Pelodiscus sinensis: one gene and its partners. The protein of the gene in region 1 purifies or fractionates together with the protein of each later gene. This does not show direct contact. Links are inferred from orthologs where the notes say so. Each region holds a gene or a part of one and is shown on either strand. Other genes may lie near its edges.

Region 1 (3,744 bases):
GAGGGACACCGCTCCAAGAGCAAAATGCACATGCCGGGGAAAAGAACCGCGGTGACATGCAGGAATGGTGCTAAAGATACATCGGGAGCCTGACATCAGCCAGCAACACCCTTCCTCCTTCAGGGAAAAGGTTACTTCACACCGATCCCGTGCACATAAAACGGAGATTCCATCATCTCTTCTCTCCCACACAGGGGTGCACACACACCATATCCTACTAACACCCACTGCAAACACCCTCTCTCTCCCTCATACAGGCTTCACTCCAAGCTCACCATGCTACCCCTCATGCTTCACAGGTCCATACCACGAGCCCTGCAACATACATCAGCTCCCTACAGCCTGCGTTTGCTTTCTCTTGGAGACTTACTGGCCACTTACGAGCAATAGCTTAATCAAGGACACTTCATAGATGTAGACACAAACCCCGTTATAACCAACACTATCAAGAGCAAAAGATTTGGATTTCTTGGCCGGGAAACAGGCTCATTTATAAACCTCAGGGCACCGTGCACCTCTGCTGGAAATTGGCAAATGCTGGTGCCTGGGAATCAAGATCTTGCACTGCATTTTCTGGAAGGCTCCCAGGTTCCAGCCATTCAGGCTAAGCCAATCCTCACTTCCCACAGCACTTGGTGACACTAGGGATGCAAATTCCTGGTTAAAAAGTTAACCAGTCAAACGCGATGTGTAACTGGTGAACTATGATCCCACAGTGGGGGGCTGCTTCAGCCAGGCCGGGCCCGCCACACTCCACCAGTTAACTGGCTACCCTGATAAGCATGCCGGTAAGGCGCACATTTACCAGGTAACTGGTTAACCCTTTACAGCCTTAAGTGACACCACACAACAATTTAGAACAAACTGCAAGGAGAACTTCATGGGGCAGACAACTGGCTTTGAACTGTGCTCAGCTGAGCATTACCTACCAGAGCAGGAATGCAGCCAGGAACTGGTGCCAAGTCCACTACACTCAAGAAAGGATCGCTGGATCTTTAATACCTACCAGGGCTTGGCTATGGTTTGTCTCATAAAAATGATACAGCCCAGAACCCCCTAGCATGTTGCTTGATCTGGGAGCTGAATAGTGACCAGTAGGGATGTTAAATATCGGTTAACTGAATTGTCGATTAACCTCACGAATTCTTATTGGTTACTCAACTATTCTCTAGTCCCCAGGTGGGGCTGGCAGCCAGTGCATTCCAGTCCCACTCCCAAGTAGCCCCCGGCCACTCCGTGCTGCTGCTTCTGTATCAGAGGCAGCAGCACGGGGTACCAGGCAGGAACTAGACTGCGAGGGGACACAGTTTAAAAATCAGCTCCCCTCGGGGACTAGCTGCTTGTCACCCTGCGCTGCAGCTTTGGATATAGAGGCAGCAACTCAGGGTGGCAGCAATCCCTGTCCGGTGGCAGCTGAGGTCCTGGACTTGGTGCGAGCCAGAACTGAGCCGGGCTGCCTGCTCACCTGGCTCTTAATATACTTTAAATGCAGAGCCGCAGCAGAGGTAGGTCCCAGACCCAGCACGAGTCAGGACAGAATCAGGCTAAAAAATGTACTGGCTAGATAGGGGGGGAGAAATGCGTGTAGTCTATAGCATTAACCGATAAGCTTTTGCTTATTACTTAGTCAGTTAATTGACTACACTATTACACCCTAGTGGCTAAAGGGAAAAAAAGCACACTCCTCCTTCCTGCCCCCCCTCAAGGCACCCATAGCTTCTCGGCTTTCCTTTCAGGCATCATGCCAGCTGTGACTGGGCTTAGCTTAAGAGCCATAATGAAATCAGAACCACAGTTCAGAACCACAGGCTCAACAGCAGACACACCACTGCACCAGCTACAATAATGGCACTTCCCCAGACCCTTTGTTACCCATCCCCACAAAGACACGGTTTTCTAGGTTTCATGCATCTCTCACCATGGACCCCTTCACCTCCTGATATATTTCATTGAACTCCAGTGTGTCTGCCATGGCGGCCCCTCCCCACCTCGCCCGCTCTGGTAGGGTCTGTGGGAGAGCTCTGGAGACTAGGTTCAGTCAGGGAGCTCTCCAGAGACGAAGAAGCTCTTCAGTCCCCTCCGGAGTCCCGCATGCCCGGCTGGGGTGAGTGTCAGACCAGCGATGAACCTGGGGAGGAGAGGAGAGAGATGACTCCATCGAGCAGGGTAAAGCAGCCCAGCAAGGAGCTGGCTCAGAAGCTCCGAGTGACTGAACCCATGGGGAGTAGCGACGGGGGCAGAGACAGTGAGCGTCGCCCAGCAGGGCTTGGGCTGCTGCTGAGCTTTACAAGGCTCCCCAGGGGCAGGAGGCTGAACCCCGGGGGGGGGGGAGGGGCACACAGGAGCCTCCCCATCCTGGTCCCCACCCCTGGAACAGACCCCCCCCCCGCCAAACCTCCCCCCCCCAGCCACAGACCCCGCCAAATCTACCCCCCCCCCACACACACACACACTTCACCGCAGCCCCTGGCCCAGGGACTGCCCCTCCCACGAGAGATCCGCCCCCCCCCCCGCCTCATCCCCCGGCACGACCCCCCCCCCCCGCCGCCAAATCCACCCCCCCCCGACACCTCAGCCCCCCCCATCATACCCCAGACACCGACCCCCCACAAGCCCCCCCCTTCTCCGGGGGGCAATTTCCCGCCTGCGCAGCGCGAACCTCACGCGGAGCCTCCCCCACCGGAAGCCGGAGCCCCCCCCCCGCTTCCGCCTTCCGGCCCGCGCTGCCATAGAGACGCCGCCCATGAAGGGCCGGGCGCGCGTGCGCGCGGCTCTCACCATAGAGTCCCAGCGGGGCTCCGGCTAGAGTGGATCCCGCCTCGCTCCTCCCTTCCTCCCAGGCAGCTGCTCTGGCTGCGCGAGCCGCGTGCTTGGAAGAGCCACCCTGCCCCTCCCCCCTCTGCTCTGCACCCCTCCTCCACCCACCCCATCTTCCTAGGCACCGCCCCACAGCCCCCCCTTCCTCCCTCCTTGCCCCACACTCCTCTCTCCCAGAAATGCCCCCACCCTCCTAGACACCCCCCATCCCTGCCCTGTACCCCCAGGCCCCTCCCCCCTCTCCACCCTGACCCCCCCTGATTCTCAGGGTCCCCTGCGCCCGGATTCGACCTGTGTGGACGCTCCGCAGCCCTGCACCGCCAGGGGTGATCCCCAAGCTCACGGCTTCCCACCGTGTCCCCCTCTGCCCCGTCGGCGACAGGTGGCTCTTCTGGGGCGCTGCAGTCCCTGTCCTCCTGTCGCTGGCGGCCGACACACCAGGGGCCCCGGGAGCTCACAGCGTGAGCGGCTGCTGCTTGACTGAAAGCACCAGGGGGGTTTCACCCTGCAAGAAGGCTGCGCTCTGTTTCCACCCCCCCACGCCGCTCCTAGCTCCCCCTCTGCAATGGCCTGGCTCCCTGGCGCCATGCACTCCCCAAGGGAGGCTGTCCTGCAAGGGGAGGTTACGCCAGACACCTGTCCCCCTTGCAGTGTGTTTGCGCAGCCCCGCGGCTTCTTGCATTGCAGCTCCCCATACCCTGTAGGAGCAGAGCTCTGGGCCGAACTGGCTGCAGGGGCCCTGGTGAGGTTTGCATTTCTGTGCAACGCCCTTCCCCAATGGACTGCATGGACAACCCCCCTTAAGGCTGTGTGGAGTGAGTGTGTGGGGTCCTTTCTTTAACACAATGGAGGTGTCAAACACTGAAGACACCAGCCCTACTGGCATAAATTATTCAGGTACACTTCTTGGCAGACTAAGGGCCTGGG
Region 2 (3,744 bases), on another chromosome or scaffold:
AATGATGGGCTGAGTAGAGACACTGGATTTATAACTTGTTCCAACAATCTAATCCACTAGCAGCTCTCCCACCAAGCTGTCTTTCCCCCTCCATATTTCATTTGCCCCTGGAAGGGTATGTCTACACTACCCCGCTAGTTCGAACTAGCGGGGGTAATGTAGTCATCCGCAATTGCAAATGAAGCCCGGGATTTGAATTTCCCAGGCTTCATTTGCATGAAGCCGGTCGGCGCCATTTTTAAATGCCAGCTAGTTCGAACCCTGTGCCGCGCGGCTACACGCGGCACGGAGTAGCTAGTTCGAATTAGGCTTCCTAATCCGAACTAGCTGTACTCCACATTCCACGAGGGTTCGAACTAGCCTTGAGGTCTAGGGTGTGCAGGGTTTGGGGTGTGCACAGTGCCTTGAGGGTTAGGGGGTGCAGGGTTTGGGGTGTGCACAGTGCCTTGTGGGCTGGGGGTGCAGGGTTTGGGGTGTGCACAGTGCCTTGAGGGCTAGGGGGTGCAGGGTTTGGGGTGTGCACAGTGCCTTGAGGGTTAGGGGGTGCAGGGTTTGGGGTGTGCACAGTGCCTTGAGGGTTAGGGGGTGCAGGGTTTGGGGTGTGCACAGTGCCTTGTGGGCTGGGGGTGCAGGGTTTGGGGTGTGCACAGTGCCTTGAGGGCTGGGGGTGCAGGGTTTGGGGTGTGCACGGTGCCTTGAGGGCTAGGGGGTGCAGGGTTTGGGGTGTGCACAGTGCCTTGAGGGCTGGGGGTGCAGGGTTTGGGGTGTGCACGGTGCCTTGAGGGTTAGGGGGTGCAGGGTTTGGGGTGTGCACAGTGCCTTGAGGGTTAGGGGGTGCAGGGTTTGGGGTGTGCACGGTGCCTTGAGGGCTAGGGGGTGCAGGGTTTGGGGTGTGCACGGTGCCTTGAGGGCTAGGGGGTGCAGGGTTTGGGGTGTGCACGGTGCCTTGAGGGTTAGGGGGTGCAGGGTTTGGGGTGTGCACGGTGCCTTGAGGGTTAGGGGGTGCAGGGTTTGGGGTGTGCACGGTGCCTTGAGGGTTAGGGGGTGCAGGGTTTGGGGTGTGCACGGTGCCTTGAGGGCTGGGGGTGCAGGGTTTGGGGTGTGCACGGTGCCTTCAGGGCTAGGGGGTGCAGGGTTTGGGGTGTGCACAGTGCATTGAGGGCTATGGGGTGCAGGGTTTGGGGTGTGCACAGTGCATTGAGGGCTATGGGGTGCAGGGTTTGGGGTGTGCACAGTGCCTTCAGGGCTAGGGGGTGCAGGGTGCATTGTACTCGCTGGGGTGTGTGCATTGCCTTGTGGGCTATGTGCGCTCTGGGGCGGACGCAGGAGTCAGTGGGGTGCACGCAGTGCATTGTGGGCGGGGGGCTGTCCCATCCCGTGCCTGCAGTTCAAGTTGCGCGGCGGGGAGGCAGGGGGCGGTCCACTCCCGGCTTTGCGTCACACTCAGCGCTTCGCTCACAGACAGGCGCACGCATGCGCCGTCTACCCTCCCCCTTCACTCCCCCCTCAGTCGGCCGGACTCCTCCCCACCGCGAGGTTGCGCGTGCGCTCAGGGCCATGGAGCGGTTGGAGGCGGGGCCGGGCTCAGGGGAGGAGCCTACCCGGCGGTCCCCGCTCCTCCTTCTCCGCCGGAGGGGGCGTTGCCGGACGCGCTCGGCAGAGCCAGGGGGCGTGGCCTTGCTGACGAGCTCGAGCTCGAGCGGCAGCAGCGGGAGCGAGGAGGAGGCGGAGATCTGGTGGCGCGCGCAGCGGCGCGCGAAGGTGCCCAAAGTGCGCACGCTTCGCCCGGCGCGGCCTAGCTCTGCGCAGGCGCAAAAGCAGGCGGATGGTGTAGAGCGCACGCGCGGAGAGCCGTGGGGGCTACCGGCTCTCGCCGCCATGGAGCGGAAAGGTGAGTGGCGGGCGCTCTCTCCCGGCCCGGCGGGCCGCCTCCTCCTCCCTCCCCCCTCCCGCCGATACATGCGCGCGCGACCGCCCCTATCTCCCTCAGAGCAGCGCCCTCCGCCCCCTGGCCTGCCTGGCGCCCCCCCCCCCCCAGCCTTGCCCCTGAGGGGGTGTCGCCTGCCCCCCCCGCCGGCCGCGCGCCCCCCCTTCCGCCCCCGCTCATCCGCCTGCGTTTCTCTCCCCAGTTCTGGCCTTGCAGGCCCGCAAGAAGCGGACCAAAGCCAAGAAGGACAAGGCCCAGAAAAAGTGAGTCAGACCCCTTGGACAGTCGCGGGGGGGGGGGTCGATGTGGGGCGCGGGGGGCGCCCCCCCAGCCTGGACCGCTGAGTTTAGGCGAGGCCTGGATGGATCCATGCGGTGATGGGCTCCCCTTGGGACTGTGGGTGCGTGACATGCCCTCGGGCTATGGCTCTGGAGCATCCTCGCAGCTTCATCTGCTAACCTCGCCGCTGCCTTCCCTGACCCCTGCATAAGGTGGTTGAAATAACACCCCTTGATCTTTCTGCCTCGATCCCTTTCCTAGGCATCGCTAGGCTGCGCCTCAGTTTAACTCAAGTGCATTTTTAAAACTGATGTGGTTAAAGCAGTCTTCCTGTCTTAGAAAAAACAAAAGACAGGACTATGTAGCCCTTTAAAGACTAACGAGATGGTTTATTAGATGATGAGCTTAGTCCTGTGTTTTGTTTCAGCTACACCAGACTAACATGGCTACATTTCAATCACTGTTCTTGTCTTAGGAAACTATCTGTTGACTTTGATTTTTATTTGCTTAGGTTTAAGTACCCATTCTCCAGATACTTGATGCTCTGTCTCCCACCCCCCTCCCTTGTTCTTTCTCTCCCCCCTCCCTTTCCCCTCCTATTTATTTCAAGTTTTTATATCCCCAACTCATAACTCCGATTCTCTCAAGAAGTGGGCTGTACCCATGAAAGCTCATGGTACCACCTACATGTTTTGTTAGTCTATAAAGTGATACCAGACCATTAGTTGTTGTTTTTTCTGAAGCCCCTAATGTAGATGCACTTAAGATGACAGATAGGTTTTTTCAATGTGTTTTCAGCTATTAGAGTACTTTTCTGGTACAGATGAGGCCTTTGAATTGGTCTATGTTTGCACCCTTTGCAGGTGTTCCTGGCCCACACCGAGCTCTAGTCACTCTGTCTCCCCAAGTGGACTTCTTTGAAGGTCTCTTACATAGCTAGGCTCTGATTCTCTCTCTGGCTATCAGAGGGAGATGTGGTGGGCCTCTTACAGAAAATGGATTCCATCGTAGGAATAGAACTTCATCATTAGTATGTAATGAGCACCTTGCATCTTACGACATTTGATGGTAGGAGTCTTTGCCACCCTACTACCCAGTTTCTTCCAGGTGTAACAGCCTCTCCTTAGCACTAGCACCAGCACCTTCATCCCTCAGTCAGTCACATGACTTGTGTATTTGGAGGTGGTAAGGTTGCCATGGAACCTCTTTCACTGAGTCAAGGAACAGAAGGTTCTTCTAAACAGTTTGATTACTTAAGTTTTCCCTTTCACCATCTCTTTCTGTAGTTTACCTTTTATTTTTATGATTACGTTACAGTGTGTTTACCTTACTCTGTAGCTTTGACATCTTTCTGTGGTTTCTGTACCCATGTCAGGAATTTCATAAATAAATTGCCTTCATGATAAACTTTTGGATGGGTGTAAAGACTCTCTAAATCTGTGGTGTCCAGCTAGTTCTGAAGCAGTAGCTATTATAGTGGCTACTGCTATAGCGAACTAGTGACACTCAATTAGCTAAATAGTCACATGTGGTTAGTA
Region 3 (3,744 bases), on another chromosome or scaffold:
AGGGAGGAGCTACGCGAGAAGGCAGGACTGGAGCAGCCGGGAGTAAAGTGGCGGCCTGACAGGGAGCAAAGGAGAAGGTGGCGGACGCTGGGCGGCATAGCAACTAAGGGTGAGAGGCAGAAAGCAGGCAGGGTGAAGCCAAGGGTCATTCACTGTTGGGCCTGCTACCGGCATCAGTCAGCAGTGGAAACTTATATCTGCAGTGTCCCAGATGTAAGTAGTTGCAATCTTCTCTAACTTTGGTCAGATCTTTCTTGGGGCCACCGTGAACCTGGCTTATTTTAAAAATCTTGGCTCGATTTGGCTTCTACCACGAACCTTAAGAACAAGTTTAAAATGGTTCCTATCCGTTTGTTTCCTTCCAGGTTTGTAAGTAACCTCACACTAAAACAGGAAGGTGATCGTTCCCACGCCATTTCTGGGTTTATATGCACTAAGAAAGACAGTGGCATGCTCTTCCTGAGACATGGAAGCCTACACTACTGGAAGATTTTTTGCTCTCACTCCAGCTGTTCTCATCTTCATGGGACTGATGAAGTGAGACTATTATTGGACCATTTATTTAATGTTATTAAACATGGGGGGGGAGGGAGAAATCACAGGGATTAAATATTTGTCAATAACTATTACATTCTCAGTATTGTTGATTTAAAGTCCAGGTATTTCCAGATAATATACTACATGCATAATGTTTCTGTTGTGTTGTACATATTATATATATTCCATTCAACAGCCATTTCTTTGCCAAAAAAAACAAAACTCTGATTCCAGAATTCCATCCAGTATATCCTGCTTTGTACACTGCAAGGCTAGATTCATTATATGTTAAGGCCAGCAGGAACTATTGTGATTGTAAAATCTGACTTCCTGAATAACACAGGTCACAGAAATCCCTCAAAATAATGACTCGATCTTTTAAAAAAAATAATTTAAAATTTATCACTGGTGGAGAACCTAAGTAGAGTTGCCTGTTAGTTGTGTGCTTTTGCGACTGCTCAGGAGTGATTTAAATGCCATCCAGCTGATTAACAGCCCATAGCTAGGTTTTATTTCTACTGGGGGTGTGAATTCACACATGCCTTGGTTCACATAAAAGAATATATTCTGCACTTGGATGGAAAAGATTAGAGGAAACATTGACCACAACCCTTGGTAAACTTCCAGTTGTGAAGTATTCAAACTGTTCAAAATTCATGCCTTACTTCCAGTTTGAATTCATCTAGCTTCACTGCCAACCACTAGATATTGTTATACCTTTCCCTGCTACCTTGAAGAGCTCATATATTAAATGTATCCTTCATGTAGATATGTATAGACTATAAGCAAATCACTTCATTACTTTCTCTTTTAGATAAATAGAGTGTGTTCCTTGAGTCTGTCGCTCTAAGGCAGCCATGGCCAACTAGCAGCTCGCGAAATGCATTCGGCTCCCCCCCATATAAGTGCAGCTCGCGAAGCTGCCCCTGCACTCCTGAAAACGGTTCCTGTCTCCCGGCTCCCTGTGCTCACTGGGGCAGAAGAGCCATCCAATATGACCATTCAAAATGGCATCTTCAAGATGGCAGTGTCCAGTGGGAGCCTGATGTGGCCAGAAAGCCTTTAACCACGTTTCTTAAAGGGATAGTCCTTTTTTTTCGCTTGACCAAATGCGGCTGGGGGCTTCTTCTTTTTTTCATTGCTCGACAGCTTCCCCGGCTCTTTGTGCTATATGCACAACTATTTTGGCTCTTTGCCTATAATGGGTTGACCACTCCTGCTCTAAGGCTTTGTTTCTAATCCTTTAATCATTCTCATGGCTCTTTTATGAATTGTCTCAAATATATCAATATCCTTCTTGGTAAATCTAGCAGCAGTTGCAACATTGCTAACTACCCTCTCTACTCCTACTCAAGATTCCTCTGTTCAGCATCCCAAAATTGTATTAGCTTGTTTTTAGTCACAGCATCACATTGGAAGTTCATATTCAGCTGATTATCCATTAGAATCCCCCAATCTTTTTTTGAGTCCCCGCAACTTGTGATGGTATACAAGAATACCTAATGTGTATACACGGCCCTTGTCTCTATTTATCTGCCATTTTGTACCCTCAGAAATTATATATATTCTGTCATACTCCAACTTCTTGCTGTTATTTACCAGATAGATTTTGCTTACACGGCTAGCACCATGGGACAATTGTGGTGACAGCTTTTAAAATCTTCATCACAAATGCTTACAGACAAGGTTTCATTTATAGTGTTACCAGGTATTTACTAACTAGAGGTATGAGTTTCAAAGCCATTCAAGGACTTGTAAGAATGTATTGTTTGCTTATTGAAACAAAGATAGCAAAGGGGAAGTATCATAAATAGGTACTAAAAAGAGTTGCTGGATTATTATAATAACTAGAATGAGGAAGTTAGACAATATTTCCCTGCTTGTTGTGCTATATTAATCTGGAGAGCAGAAGCCTAGCACAGCCTAAGACAACAGTAATTAATGCCAAAAGAACATTTCAGAGTGAATATTTGGAGTCAGATATTTGTTACATACCTGTTGGCTGCTAACTCTCTTGAAGGGTAGGCAAGGGGCGATGGCAAGAAAGAAAAGAGTAGATGGTAAGTGAAGAGAAGGTGGGTGATAGCTGGCTGGGTGGGAAGGGCAGAGTAGGCTGCTGGTGACAGCAGGGGAGGGGAGAGAAGTGGAGGGTATGCAGGGGGGCAACAGCAGGGAAGGATGAGTGACAGCTACCTGGGCAGAAGGAGTGGGTGGTAGGTAATGGTAGGTAATGGTAGGTAATGGTAGGTAATGGCAGGAAAGGGGAGGATGGGTGACAGCTGACTGGGCAGGAGAGGTAGGATAGTTGTTAGGCCATGACAGGGAAAAATAGGGTTAGTGCAGGCAATGGCAGGGGAGGGGAGAGGAAGCTGCAGGAGATAGCAAGGGAAAAGAGGTAGGTAACTATCAGCTAGGTGGGTGGAAGCTAGAAAGCCTTGCTCTGGCTGCTGCACTGCAAGGACTGGACAACTAAACTGTTCACCATCCGCTGAGGTGACAGTTGGGATCCCCAACAGCCCCGCTTTAGAACTCTAGAGCTGATCCTGGAACTGGGAGAGCCTGATTGGCTGTAGCTTGTAATGAAGCTGCCATCTCAGCCAAAGAGGTTTCAAAGTACAGATGGAGACTGGAGAAGAGGCAGCTACTCTTCCACTTCTCACAACCTTAGAGAAACTGCAAAACCCTGTTTTTTTACCTTGCCTTTTCCTTACTGCAGGAGTTCTCAGACTTCCTTGTGCATTTCTGACAACAAAAATTGCTACCTGCCCCCAGCAGGGGGGATTGAACCCTGAGCTAATCCAAGTCCCCCATCCTGGCTAGGAGGATCAAAGCCAAAGCCCCACTGTCTTAGGTGGAGGGAGGTGAGGGGACCAAGATGAATCCCAAGCCCAACAGCCCTGGATGGGGCGGGAGGTTAAAGACAAAGCCCAAGAGCTTCAGCCCCAGGTGGGAAACCTGAAACCCTGAGCTTCACCACCCAGGGCTGAAATCCTCATGCTTTGGCCCCAGGCTATGGGGTTTGGGTCCCAGGAAATTAAAATGGGGTCTTCAACCACTTTAAGAATCACTGCATTACAGTGATACCACACTAGCAGCATTTAAAAACAAATTAAGCTCGGTCCTTGAAGTGAGGAGAGATGGGATTTGTTGAAATACGTTAAAGTGTCCAGAAAAAAAATCACAATGATTCAAAGCCTTGAAAACCTT

Evidence for each region.
Region 2: the proteins of SSRP1 (region 1) and SRPK1 fractionate together in Homo sapiens (co-fractionation; 3 studies listed by BioGRID and IntAct, with this or other methods). This does not show direct contact. The link is inferred for Pelodiscus sinensis from reciprocal best matches to the Homo sapiens genes SSRP1 and SRPK1.
Region 3: the proteins of SSRP1 (region 1) and CHD1 purify together in Homo sapiens (affinity purification with mass spectrometry; 3 studies listed by BioGRID and IntAct, with this or other methods). This does not show direct contact. The link is inferred for Pelodiscus sinensis from reciprocal best matches to the Homo sapiens genes SSRP1 and CHD1.

What each region holds. Positions count from the first base shown.
Region 1 is NC_134714.1:128,209,709-128,213,452, forward strand, and holds the start of SSRP1 (FACT complex subunit SSRP1), read right to left. Parts: upstream 2,805-3,744; 5' UTR 2,660-2,804; intron 2,129-2,659; 5' UTR 1,973-2,128; coding exon 1,919-1,972; intron 1-1,918. UniProt on the Homo sapiens protein: Component of the FACT complex, a general chromatin factor that acts to reorganize nucleosomes. The FACT complex is involved in multiple processes that require DNA as a template such as mRNA elongation, DNA replication and DNA repair.
Region 2 is NC_134737.1:12,827,899-12,831,642, reverse strand, and holds the start of SRPK1 (SRSF protein kinase 1), read left to right. Parts: upstream 1-1,505; 5' UTR 1,506-1,557; coding exon 1,558-1,891; intron 1,892-2,129; coding exon 2,130-2,190; intron 2,191-3,744. UniProt on the Homo sapiens protein: Serine/arginine-rich protein-specific kinase which specifically phosphorylates its substrates at serine residues located in regions rich in arginine/serine dipeptides, known as RS domains and is involved in the phosphorylation of SR splicing factors and the regulation of splicing.
Region 3 is NC_134716.1:69,217,888-69,221,631, reverse strand, and holds the start of CHD1 (chromodomain-helicase-DNA-binding protein 1), read right to left. Parts: upstream 2,552-3,744; 5' UTR 2,533-2,551; intron 1-2,532. UniProt on the Homo sapiens protein: ATP-dependent chromatin-remodeling factor which functions as substrate recognition component of the transcription regulatory histone acetylation (HAT) complex SAGA. Regulates polymerase II transcription.